2 linked regions of the Oryctolagus cuniculus genome follow. The protein of the gene in region 1 purifies or fractionates together with the protein of each later gene. This does not show direct contact. Links are inferred from orthologs where the notes say so. Each region holds a gene or a part of one and is shown on either strand. Other genes may lie near its edges.

Region 1 (6,915 bases):
AGAACTGCCGCCATCGACACACCCCTGACATCCATCAGTCAAGTGCGTGCGCTCACTCCCAGAACTGCCGCCATCGACACACCCCTGAGAGCGCTCACCGCCCTGACTCTGCAGCGACCTGTTTCTGTAAAACTGAAGAATCCAGCCACTGCTGGCAGTCAGCGCCAGAAGCACACCCTGACAGGCGGCCGGGACCCGGCAGACGGGACGCCAAGGGCGCGCCCAAGAGGAACCCCCAGTGATGCTCGACTGCACTTCCTGGACACCCAAGGCAAGTCCCACATACCGAGTGATGAGCTTTCAGTTGATAAAACACACAAAAAGCCTCCGAGGGGGACAAGAGGGTCGAGTCTGCTGTTCTACACCATTCATTCCAGAGTTTAGCACAACCGATTTCTTCCCAGACTCCTGAATTCATAACAAATGATGACAGAAACGCTGTGGAAAGCAATTCACAGAAGTTAGTGGTGGGCTCTGTAAGCTGCATTTTATAGTCAATATTCAAGAGGAAAGGGCCACTGAATAGCGTCTACCCAATGTCACCACTCTGTAGGAAAGAAGATCAAGCCCTCGGGAACTCAAAGGCCACCCCTGAGTAGGACAGCGAGTCTGTACGATACTCACGGGGAACACTCCCCTGGAAAAATCCTAGACCAGCAGAACTTTACATAAATGACAACAGTTATCTACCCGAGTTACTACGTTCTTGTTTTCTAAGATTTACTTATTCATTTCTGTTTGCTAGTTTATTTGAAAGGCAGTCCAACAGAGAGAGAAAAAGAGAGAGAGAGAGACAGAGACAGAGAGAGAAAGATGTTCTATCCACAAATTTACTCCCCAGATGGCCACAATAGCTAGGGCTGAGCCCGGGCAAGCCAAGAGCCAGGAACTCTGTCCCAAGTGGTAGGAGCCCAAGGACTTGCACCATCTTCCACTGCCTTTGCAGGTCCATTAGCAGGGAGCTGAACTAGAAAGGGAGTAACCAGAACTCAAACCAGCACTTTGATACGGGACACTGGCGTCACAAGTGGCAGCTTGACCCACTGCGCCCCAGCGCCAGCAAGTCACTGTGTTCAGCCAGCACCGGGGTGCCTTTGAGGGGCAAGGATCCAACCAAAGCCCTGAAGGCTCCCCTCAGAGCGTGTGAGCCTCCTGAAACTACAGGGCCCTTCTGGGTACATCAACACTGCTCGTTTTAGTCCAACAAGTACATCAGGAAGTGCAAAGACCTTGGACTTGAGTGGTCAAAAATGCCAGCACTTGTTAGAGTTCTCATCGTGTTCTCAAAGGACTCTGTTAACTCACAAATATTTAAGTATGGGGCAGGCACTGTGGCAAAGCAGATGAAGTCGCCACTTGGAATGCTCATAGCCATATCGGAGTGCCTGGGTTCAAGTCCCATCTCTGCTTCCCATCCTACTAATGCACACCCTGGAAGGCAGAAGACAATGCCTCAAGCTTTTGGGTCTCTGCCGTCTACATGGGAGACGAGGACGGAGCTCCTGGCTTTGACCCGGTCCAGCCCCAGCTGCAGGCATTTGGGACGTGAAACAGCAAATGGAAGACCGATGTCTCTCTCTCTCTGTGCGTCTGTCTCTCTGGCACTTTACATTTAAAATAAAAAATAAAAATTTTTAAAAATTTACACAAACTTGGATAGTTCAACACACTAGAAACATTTCCTTGCGCCTTAAGTTCAATAACACTTCCTTTAAATTTTTTAGGTTTATTAGAAAGATGGTACATGAGCAGGATATAAGTTTTACTCAGAAATAACATTATGGCTTTTTTTTTAATTAACAAGCACTTGCAACCTTTCATAACAGAAGCAAACGAGCAGCTTCGGCTGTCGGGAGACTCAGCGGTCCCCGTTGCACTCACCTACTGCATTGCTGCCTATGGCAATGATAAACCTGGAGCAAGGATGCTTTTCCAGCAGGGAAAATTCCAAACACGTTTTCGTTTGTCTTCGAAGAAGCCGTACCTCCCTAACACAAGAAATAAGATGAAACTAAAACAACCTCAGCTTAATCAGAATACTGTGAACAAGAGCCCACTGCATGCTACGTTGCAATAGGTAAAACACACCTGTGAAGAACAACCCCAAGAAAACAATGGACTCAGGCAATGGTAACCAACAGAGAAAACCAGGACAAGCGCAGACCAGGCCACCGCCTGACCCTCTCATCAGCCTTTGCTCCCCAGCAGTGAGACCGCAGGTAGAACGAGCAACAGGAAACAGCACCACTGCAAAGCAGCCTTCAAACCAAATGCTGCCTGTGAATCTGGGGGCCGGAGTTGTGGCGAAGCTGCCGCCGGAATGCTGGCAGCCCACATGGGCCTCAGTCCACTCAGTCCATGTCCCAGCTGTTCTACTTCTGACCCAGCTCCCCACTAATGTGCCCGGGAAAAGCAGCAGACGATGGCCCAAGTGCCTGGGCCCCTGCCACCCACCTGAGAGACCCTGATGAGGCTCCTGGATTCAGCCTGGCTCAACCGTGGCCACTGTGGCCATCTGGGGACTGAACCAGCAGGTCGAAGATCTATCTCTTTTTCCTTCTGTCTCTGTAACACTGACTTGCAAAGAAACAAATAAATTTGGGGCCAGCGCTGTGGTGCAGTGGGTTAATGCCCTGGCCTGAAGCCCTGGCATCCCATATGGGCGCCGGTTCTAGTCCCGCTCTCTGCTGTGGCCTGGGAAAGCAGTAGAAGATGGCCCAAGTCCTTGGGCCCCTGCATCCACATGGGAGACCTGGAAGAAGCTCCTGGCTCCTGGCTTCAGATCGGCACAGCTCCAGCTGTTGTGGCCAACTGGGGAGTGAACCAGCAGATGGAAGACCTCTCTCCCTCCCTCCCCTCCTTCTCTCTCTCTCTGCCTCTCCTTCTCTCTCTGTGTAACTCTGACTCTCAAGTAAAAAATAAATAAATCTTTTAAAAAAAAGAAACAAATTTTTCGAAAGAAAAAGTGAATCTGACATTTCCAGGAAATGTTAATGTTAACTGACACCGTGTGGCGGCGCTCACAAATCCATACTGTGGGACGTTAGACAGGACAGCCAGGTTCTCAGCAGGGGAGAAAGCACACATCTGGGGAGAGGGCGAGCTCTACCTCAGATGAAATGTCTAAGCACAGTATGCTGGGGGCGGGTGGGTAGCAGTTAGAACACTGGCAGGTAAAGCCGCCACCTGGGACACCAACGCCCCATGTGGGCGCCAGTTTGTGTCCCAGCTGCTCCACTTCTTATGCAGCTCCTGTGTGGCGGCCTGGGTGCTTGGACCCCTGCCACCCATGTGAGACCCAGGTGAAGCCCCGAGCTTCCAGCCCCAGCCACTGTGGTCATCTGGGAAGTGCACCAGCTGATGGTAGTGCGCGCTCTCTCTCTCTCTTTCTCTCTCTACATAACTCTTTCAAATAGAAAATAAATCTTTAAAATAAATCTTTAAAATAAATCTTAAAAAAAAAAAAAAAAGCCTTAGTCCCAGTTGGACTCTGCTCCCAATTCCAGCTTCCTGTCAATGCAGGCCCTGGGCTGGCTCAAGTAACTGGGCACCTGTCACCCACCCGAGGGTCTCGGATTGAGTTCCTGGCTTGCAGCCCACCCCACTGTTCCACGCATTTGGGGAATGAACCAAGAGTTCCCACGGGTGCTCTCTTCGTCTCTCAAATAAGTGGTTATATAAACATCATGTGTGCACCTTTATCAGGATTCTGACTTGCACAACTCCCTGTATGCTTGAGGAAACTAGTAAATTTGACTGTGGGGCGGGGCTTAAGCGTCACTTGCGATGCTGGCACCCAGTGCCGAAGCACCCACTCAAGTCCCAGCTGCTCCACTGCGAACCCAGCTCCGTGATAATTCACCTCCGGAAGTGTAGTGGGGCCCCTGCCACCCACGTGGGAGACCCGGATGGAGCTCCTGGCCCAATCCCGGCTGTTGCGGCCAAGTGGGGAGTGACCCAATGGACGCGAGATTCTGTCTCTCCCTCCGTCACTCTGCGGGCGGACGGGTCCCGCACCTCCAGCCGCTGCGGACCCTGATGCGGACCGGGGGTCTCCTCCCCCGTCCCCGGACCTGGGCAGGCGCCTCTGGCACCTCCAGCCGCTGCGGACCCGTGGTCACTCTCCTCCCTCCCCCGGACCTGGGCGGGCACGTCCCGCACATCCAGCCGCTGCTGACCCTGATGCGGACCCGTGGTCACTCTCCTCCCTCCCCCGGACCTGGCGGGCGCGTCCCGCTCACCCAGCCGCTGCGGCCCCGGTCGGGGCCCGAGAAGCCCAGGACGGACGCGGGCAGGGCACGGAGGCCGCTCCGCACACCGGCAAGGACCAGCCTGAACGCACGCCTCCCTCCCCCGCTTCAGGCCCACGGCAGCGGGCGCCCGAGGCCTCCCGGGCCGCGCGCACCTGCCCGGCGGCGGGGCTGAGGCGCTTCCCCGGCAGCGCGGCCCCGGCTCCCGGCCTCCCCGCAGGGCCTCACCTCTTCCGCGCCAGCTGCAGCCGCACCTCCCGGTCCTCGGGCGTCTCCCTCCGGCCCTCCTCCTCCTCCTCCTCCTCCTCCTCGGTCCCCGCCCGACACGGCGCCCTCACCACCTCTCCGAAGAACGTGGCCGCCATGGTCTCCCGGGGCCGGTCGGGCACAACTGCGGCGGCGCGAGACGGCGCACGCGCCACGGCGCGGGGCCACGCCCCCAGGCGCACCCGCGCGCGGAGGGCCACGCCCCCTGGCGCCCCTCAGTGACGGGGCGGCCCCGGAAGTCCGGAGCCTGTTCTTCCGCCGCGTGAGGCGGGCGAGGACACCGAGACTGGAGGACTGTGGGCTAGAGGGGCGAGCACGTGACCCGGTGGGCGGGGCGCGCGGAGGCCGGGAGGCGTGTCCGGCCCGGGCAGGTGACGGACCTGGACCCAGGGCGCGGCGCTTAGCAGAGCGTGCGCCCCTCACGCGTTTCCTTTCCCTCGGGCCCCTTCTCGTTTTCCGTTGGGAGCGACAGGGCTGGACTTTGGTGTGTGCACACCTGCTCCGGACCTCGAGCGCGCCAGGTGGTGGCGGCCGCGGGGCCCGGGCGGGCGGGCGTGAGGAAGACGCCGCGGCGGGAAGCGAGGCCTCTGCCCAGCCCCGCAGCTGCCGGGAAGCTCGAGGACGCGCACGGAGGTTTGTTTCTTTAAGCTTGGCCACTCGCGATTGCACGGAACCCGTGGGGGCGGCCGGGGGCGGTGAGCGGGGCGCGCGAGCCCGGGGCCACCGAGCGCCTCAGCCGTGCTAGGAACGCCGTCCGGCCAGAGGCGGGAGAACCTGCTACTCAGCCATCGTACTCAGAGCTGGGGGTTCGCGGCAGAATGAGACGTCCGGGGGCAAAAGCTGCGCCCGTGGGCGCGGGACTCCAGCGTGAGCGGGGCGCCCCGGACAGGCATCGCCGGCCCCCGGCCCCGCCTGGGGCCCACCACCTCACCCCTGCACTGCCCACTGCCCTGTTAAGCAGGGTGACGTCAGCGGTGGCCACCGCCGGACTGCCCGTCCCGGAGAGAACAGCTTGACAAGAATGCGGACTTCCTGAAACACACTTACTTCATGCACTTAACGTGTATTCAGGCCAAGCGGCTTTTGTTTAAAGGCGAATCTGTGTTCAAATTAAATACTAAACCAGCAAGGAGGATTCTGTTATGAAAGGCCCGTACAGTCTCAAATACTGACAGGAATTAACCCCGCCAGCTATTGACTCAAAGCTTAAGTTTTCATTACACCGAAATTATTAAAAAAAAAATTGTACGTAAAAGCCTTCACTGAGACTTAAATATGTGATGGTATTTCTTGAGGCTATAATACGCCCTGTAAGAAACTGCAGTGAACGAGTGTAAGTTTGGGACTGGAAATGCATTTCCGCGTTTCATTAGCGCTCAGAAAGCAAACCCCATGCACCTGAAAATGGCAGCAGTTTATTAGGAACGCCTCCTTGTCCCGCCTGTGCTAGCAACAGGATGCTGGGGATCAGTATTTCAGATTAAAGTGAACCGCATGAAAGAGCAAAGGACACACACTGTCGCTTAGAATATTCTGACTTGTACTTTTTAAAAAAATAGCCTTTTTTTTTAAAACAAACATGCAACCACAAATTTCTCAAATAATCTGAACACTTGGTCCATCCACCTGGTAACCAAAAAATATGCATTAGTCTTAAAAATAAACTCCTAGATTTCTGTATTTTACTTTTTCAGGTTTAGGTTTACACATGCAAATCATAGATTCACAGATTTTTTTTTCCAACGGGAAAACAACTTGCTTAGGACTATTTAACATCTTTCTATTAAGATTTGACAGTACATTCATTTAATCTGGTGATCTTAATTTCAACAAATGTCTGTTAACAACAAATTAAACCTCATTGCAAGTAAATTCTTTGTAGTGCCATGGCCAGCTTTTCTAATCCTATCAAAGACCACAACAAAACAGGCCAGACATGCTGCTATAAAGTGTGTGATGAGATTGTAGTAAATTTGCTCAGTGTTCAAGTTCTTTTAATGTGATGTAATAAGCATGAAAGATTTCACTCTGTCATCTAAAGAGATGTTCTGATTAAAACTAAGACTTGCCTCTTAATGAGGTACATTTTGGCATTTCTGTAAATGCTACTACGTGAAAAGTAGAAATGAGCAAAAGCTATGAGAATCATATTCCTAACTTTCATAGAAAAATATATATTCCCTGAATTAATCATATCAAGTGGTCACTGTTAGGTATGAATTCCAGTACTATAAACAAAATAAGACAATGGGTTTTCTCTTATTTTCGACGCTCAGAACTCAGCGATCGACATCCCCAGCACTGAAGCCCTGGGCCTTCAGGTTGTTGACCTTTGGGAAAGTGAATTAAAAAGCATGGATATCTCAGTGTTAAGTCTTGCTTCACTCAGAAGTCAAAA
Region 2 (6,212 bases), on another chromosome or scaffold:
AGAGGGCCCAGACAGCGCCCGTGAGTCCCTCATGGCGCCGCCCCTCCACTTAGCAACCCCCGCCTCGCCAGGCAGGTGTGGACAGAGCTGGACCCTCGCCCCGCCAGGCACTGCTGTCAGTGTGGTTAGCTCCCCCCCTCGCAGCTCAGGCCTGGAAGGCCAAGTTCGGGCCATGCGCAGAACACACTCCCCGCCGAGGGGTGGGGTCACATCCCACCTGCGCCACTCGTAGAAAGCAGGGGCCGCGCTGTGGCACGGCGGGCTAGGCCTCCCCCTGCAGTGCCGGCTCCCGTACGGGCTCCAGCTCCCATCCAGCTTCCTGCTGAGGGCCTGGGAGAGTGGAGGATGCCCGCGTCCTTGGGCCCCACACCACGTGGGAGACCTGGACAAGGCTCCTGGTTCCTGGCTTCCGGTCAGCTCCCCTCCAGCCACTGCGGCCGTTTAGGGAGTGGCCCAGGGGATGAAGATCGCTCACTGCCTCTCAAAGCTTAGCAAGGATATGCCCAGAGCTCCGTGGGACCGGGACACTGCCCTGCCCACGCCCACGCGGCCGGCGTCCACCGTGTTTCCCGGACCCCGAGCACTTACTTCCAGGAGGGCCTTGATCACCAGCTTGATGGCCAGGTCGTCGGTCTCGATGGCGTCATCGGTGTAGTTCTTCTCCAGGAACTCACGCACTGACTTGGCGCCCCGGCCGATGGCATTGGCCTGAAACGGATGTGCACCCGCGGTGGCCCAGGGGTCCAGCTGCCTGCTGCCCGTGTCCCCAGGGGGCCTGCTGTTTGCTCTGAGCAAGCTGTGGCAAGGGGCAGCCGCTCCAGGTGACCTGCGGAGCCCCGTGGGCAGCCATGCTGAGTGGCCAGCTGAGCCCCGTGGGCGGCCATGCCGAGTGGCCAGCTGAGCCCCGTGGGCGGCCATGCCGAGTGACCAGCTGAGCCCCGTGGGCAGCTTCCTTCTGCCGATTCTTAACTGATCCTAACGCCGCCCTGCACCCGCACCCTCACGGTCCTGCAGGACAATCTGGTGCTCACGGCCCCCTGGCTCCCACACAGCCACCGTCAAGGCAGCGTGTACATCTGGGACGCGGTGACCTCAAACGCTGACGTGAGGAGTGGACGCTGCCGAAGCCGCTGCACCCTGCGGGACTCACCTTCCAGGCGTGGTACGTGCCCGAGGGGTCAGTCTGGTAGAGTCTGGGGGTGCCATCGAAGTCAAAGCCCACGATGAGGGCAGAGATGCCGAATGGCCTGCGACCGTTGCTCTGTGTGTAGCGCTGGAGCGGCACAAACAGGTCGGGGCTCGGACCAGGGAGACCGCGCAGGACGCCCGCGAGCCGAGCCCCAGCCAGGGGCGCTCTGCAGGCACCGAGACCCCCCACGCCTCCGGCCCGTTCTGCACCTGCACGCCCAGGCCCAGGCACTGCGCAGCACGCACTGAGCGCCTGGGAACTTCCTGCCAGGCAGCCGTCCAGCTGGCCACACGCTGGCTCGGAAGACGAATGGCGTCGCGCCACAGTGGTTCTCGGCTCCCTCCCACCCGCCTGGCAACGCCGCTAAGGACAGAGCCGGGCCTCGCTCCTCCCTCCAGCGCGCGCTGAGAGCCAAGGGGAAGCGGTGGACAGCAGGACGCAGCTGACCCCGGGCGCCCACCTGCTTCAGACTGGCGATGTAGCGGGTGATGTACTCCACAGTGACCGGGTCCTCCACGGTCAGCCGGTGGCTCTGGCACTCTACCCGGGCCCGATTGATGACGATGCGCGCGTCCGCAGTGAGGCCTGCAAAGGAGCGGGAGACTCCGAGCAAGGACGGCGTTGACCCTGGCTACTCCGCAGCCTGACCTCTGGGCACGGTCCCCCCTCGCCCTTAGCGGCCAGAGCGGGACCAGCAGCCTCCGGGGCTCTTCTGAGAACCAGGTCAGGGAGCCGCCCCGCGCCCTGGGGGAGCGCAGGGGCCGAGTGCGTGCCTCCCCGTCACGGGGCAGGTGTACTGCTGCTGGCCACGGGCAGCCCTGTCTGCCCTCTGCATGCCACAGGTCAGGCGGGGCTCGTGTTTGGGGGACAGAAAAACCCCCAAGTTAACTCCTGAAGTCCGAATCCACTGACGTCTGGCAACAGCCCGGGGCCCCGCGTCCCTCTGCACAGCCAGGTTCCACCGGGACCCTGAGTGCGGCCCTGGCCCCGGTCGCGCACCTGCGAACGCCATGCAGACGTTGTCGTCCAACGCGCAGATCTTGCGCACGGTCCTTTCATCCTGCAGCTTGGCCACCGACTTCTTCTCCACGCCAAGGACGACGATGTCTCTCCCCCGGACGCCAACCTCCAATGAAAACCACGGCCCGCATGAGAAACTGCGGAGGCGGGGCGCCAGGAGCACACGGCAACACGGTCCTGGGGCGTGGCCGGCAGCCGCCACGCGGAGCTGTGCTCACCCGCGCAGCCCACAGCTCACAGCCCGACAGCCCGGGCCCGGCACTGCGGGTAGGGACCTGCCGTGTGGGCCGGAGTCTGAACAGGGGCGCCGGCCGCAGGCGAGCTGTGAAGCCACCTCCCGGCACGAGGGAGGGGCCGCCTGCTGTCAGCCGTCGCCGGACACCGCCCGCCAAGGCAACCACGGGTGGGATTCAAAATCCGATAAATCACGGCAGGCTAATTATGAAGTGGACAATTCCGTACGACCGCAAACGGCCCGGCAGAGACAGGTTCCCCACCCCTGCTCAGAGGGCTGGGCTGGCAAGGCTGCAGACCATGGACCCACGCAGGGTCCCGGCTCCGGCCTAGACTGGCACCCACTGTCGCGGGCCCAAGGGGCGTGAGCAGTATGAAGGCCTCCCCGTCTCCTAACCAGGCGTGGGAGCCGCTTCGGCATGGGACGCCGAGCCCCCATCAGAGTCGGGGCGCAGCTCCCACCCCCCTCCTGGGAGACCCGGACTAAGCTCCTGGCTGGTGGCGGTCAGGGGCCTCTGGGGAGTCAGCCGGCGGGTGGGGGCTCTGCCTCTCACACACACCGGAACCTCAGGAATCGGCCATCCCACACGTCAATCAAACAGCCTAGAAACCAACCGCAGCAATCGGTGGGCGCCGCGCGTGCCCGCCCTCCAGCACAGGGCCTTTCAGCCCCGCCGGCCAGTGCCGACCTGGGCAGCCGCCCCCGCCCACGGCATGCCAGCAGCAGTCTCGCTCCACACGGCAGTGCCCGCGGGCCGAGGGGCACTGGCCCGGTTTCCAGGGAGGTCCCGGGTGCCGACTCGGCCAGACGCTCCGGGAGCCGCAGCTGTGCGTCCGCCCGAGCGAGCGTGGGTGGGGAGGAGGTCAGAGTTGGACTTGGGACCCTAATTGCAGGCGGTCACACGAGCCAGGAAGTGGCGACCTCAGAATCCGCGTCGTGGCCCTGAACGTCTAGGATTCTAAGGGACAAAAACGTCGCGCGCCACGGCGCTGTCTGCGAGGGGGCAGACGCTGCCCAGGCACCGCACCCCCGGGGGCCTGGCCCGGGGCCCCCCAGCCTCCTGTGAGAAACACCACCCCTCCTCCACATGCGCGCGCGCTCCCGAGGTGCGCCCAGGTGCTGCTGGTGGGAACGAGACAGGCGCCTGAGCCCCGAGCTCAACGTGCCCACCTGGGCAGGCAGTGGCCTGGCATCACTCCGGGAGCCGCCAGGACAGTCCCCGTGCGTCCGGCTGGCCCGCCGCCGGCAGGTGCAGGGCACGGCCCGCTCCCGTACCGGAAAGCACGCACCCAGAGGCACCCCGGGCTACTGGCCTGGCCCCTCACCCGCGGCCTCCGACGCCATGCGCGCCCCAGCGCCGCCATCGGCCCCGCCCGGGCTGCGGCTCCCTTCTCTGCGCCACGGAGCCGGCGCCCCGCGGGTTCCCAGCGGCCCGCTGGCCACACGCACGGCCGAAGGGACGCCGCGCCGCCGTCCCGGGAGCAGCGGTCCGCAGCCCGCGCCCCCGGCCGAGCCCAGGCCCGCCGCCCGCCGCCGCGCCCGGGCCCCCGGCGGCGCCCCTGGCCCGGGCCCCCAGCGCGCGCAGGCCCCGGCGCGGCGGCTCACCGCGGTCGAGCCCTTCTTAACGGCCTCCTGCGCGTACTCCACTTGGAACAGGTGGCCGTCGGGCGAGAAGACGGTGATGGCGCGGTCGTAGCTCATGCCGGCGGCCGCGGCGCGGGCCCAGGGCCACCCTCTCCGCCGCTCTCAAAAGCGCACACTCACGGCCGGCGCGCGCGCCCTGCGCCGCGCCCACGCTGCGCGTCGGTGACGTCACGGCGTCGGGCGGACGTGCGGGCGCGCGGCGGGGCGGGGCGGGGCCGGGCCTAACCACGGGCGGCGGGGCGGGGGGGGCGGCGCGGGGCGCGGCGGAGCGGGCGCGGGGCGCCGGCCGGCCGCCGGGGGGCGCCACGCGAGGCGCGGCCTCGGAGGGGGCGGCGGCGGCGGGAGGCGGCGCGGCGGGCGCGGCGGCGCGCGCGGGGCGGCGGGGCGGGCGAGCCCACGGCGCGGCGTCCCCCGCGCCTCCCGCCCCCCGGCGACTGCGGAGAATGAGCTCTTCGGGCGGCCGAGCGCAGCCGGGGAATAAGCCCTGATGGTCACGGGCTGAGCCCCGCGTCGCCGCAATGTCCGTGGCCTTCGCGTCCGCCCGGCCGAGGGGCAAAGGGGAGGTCACGCAGCAGACCATTCAGAAGGTGCGTGGGGCCGGGGCGCGAGGCGCGGGCACGCGCGGGCTGGGGCGCGGGCAGCCGGCGGGCGCGGGGCGCGAACAAAGCCGGGGCGCAGCCGAGCGGCCCCGCGCCCGCCGTCCGCAGCGGCGCTCCCCGGGGGGCCCACGCCCACTCTGCCGGAGGCGCGCGGAGACCCGCGGGCGCGGGCGAGGGCGCGTGGCGTCGGCCGCCTGGGAGGAGAGGGCGGCGGCGGCGCCCGTGTCGGGGGTCCGGGTCCCGAGCGCCGCTGGCCACGCGCGAGGGAGTGCGGGCCGGCCTCGGGGACGCCCCTCGGCGAGGCGCGAGCCCCCAGGGCACAAAGGACGCGGCGCGGGCTTGGGCGCCCCGCAGCGCACGCGGGTGCCCCGCGCCCGGGAACCCGGCTGTGCTGTGCAGCCCCGCGCCTCGGCGTGAGTCGGGCCGCGCGGGTGCGGGGGAGCGGGCACGTTCCGTTCTCGGCTTCCCCGCCCGACAGATAAGGAAGGAAGCTGGCGTTCGCCGCGCCCCTCTGCACGCGCCCGGCGCCTCGCGCGGCTGCGTGTGTTCCTCTGCTGGACTCTGTGGGTTCGCCGGGAGGGGTGCGCCCGCCTCTGGGGACGTGGTCCTCGGGCTGTCACCAAGATGGAGACCGATCTTGTCGCCACGGGATTGTCACGAGTGGGGGGCCTTGGGCAGCGCCGAGCCGGGGATGGTGACGGACGGGAGCCTCCGAGGGTGTGGAGTCGCAGGTGCTGTTTGAGAGCCTTGCGAATCTTTTAATGTGCGCTTTCTCTTTGAGATTTATTTGACACACAGAGTTGGAGAGGTAGGGAGAGGTCTTCCATCCGCTGGTTCAGTCCCCAGATGGCCGAAACGGCCGGAGCTGCGCCCAAAGCCGGGAGCCTGGGGCTTTATCTGAGTCGGCTCCCCGGGTGCAGGGCCCAAGGACGTGGGCGTTGTTCCGTTGCTGTCCCAGCAGAGTTAGATCAGAAGTGCAGCAGCCAGGACTGGCACTGGCGCTCCTGTGGGACCCGGCACTGCAGGCCGGGGCTTAACCCGCGGCACCAGAGCACCCGCCGCCGGGCGGGGGAGATTCTCCATCCGGCGAGCCTGCGACAGCCAGGGCTGGGCCAGGTGGGCACCGGGAGCCTGCAGCTCCGTCCAGGCCTCCAAGCCCCGGGGCCACCCTTCACGGCCCCTCCACCGTGTGCCAGTAGCACACAGCTGACAGCAACCAGCCTGCTGAGCCACGACGCCTGGCCCGGGCTTTGCCCGTCTTCTCCGCGTCCTCCGTGGAATTAGCGTCCCCCGTGTAGCTGAGGAGGCGGAAGCACAGGAAAGCTGCGTGCCGTGGACGGTGGCTGCGGCACGGCTGTGGCTGCAGCGCCGCATCGCGCGGCCTTTGGCTCGGCAGAGCGTCAGGCACGAGCCCCGGGGGCACGTGTGGGCATTTCTGGGGGTGTCCTGATGCCCTGGCTTTTTTTTTTTTTAAAGGATTCATTCATTTATTTACTTATGTATTTATTTTAAAGGCAGACTTACA

What was found. Proteins that work in one complex are often made in the same cells at the same time.
Region 2: the proteins of PSMG1 (region 1) and PSMA7 purify together in Homo sapiens (affinity purification with mass spectrometry; 3 studies listed by BioGRID and IntAct, with this or other methods). This does not show direct contact. The link is inferred for Oryctolagus cuniculus from reciprocal best matches to the Homo sapiens genes PSMG1 and PSMA7.

What each region holds. Positions count from the first base shown.
Region 1 is NC_091435.1:5,948,456-5,955,370, reverse strand, and holds the start of PSMG1 (proteasome assembly chaperone 1), read right to left. Parts: upstream 4,616-6,915; coding exon 4,479-4,615; intron 1,989-4,478; coding exon 1,882-1,988; intron 439-1,881; coding exon 287-438; intron 1-286. UniProt on the Homo sapiens protein: Chaperone protein which promotes assembly of the 20S proteasome as part of a heterodimer with PSMG2.
Region 2 is NC_091442.1:1,219,936-1,226,147, reverse strand, and holds the start of PSMA7 (proteasome subunit alpha type-7), read right to left. Parts: upstream 4,262-6,212; 5' UTR 4,146-4,261; coding exon 4,050-4,145; intron 2,316-4,049; coding exon 2,189-2,315; intron 1,775-2,188; coding exon 1,650-1,774; intron 1,274-1,649; coding exon 1,151-1,273; intron 709-1,150; coding exon 589-708; coding exon of another isoform or gene 562-588; intron 1-561. Other genes in the region: SS18L1 (calcium-responsive transactivator), read left to right, coding at 4,607-4,675.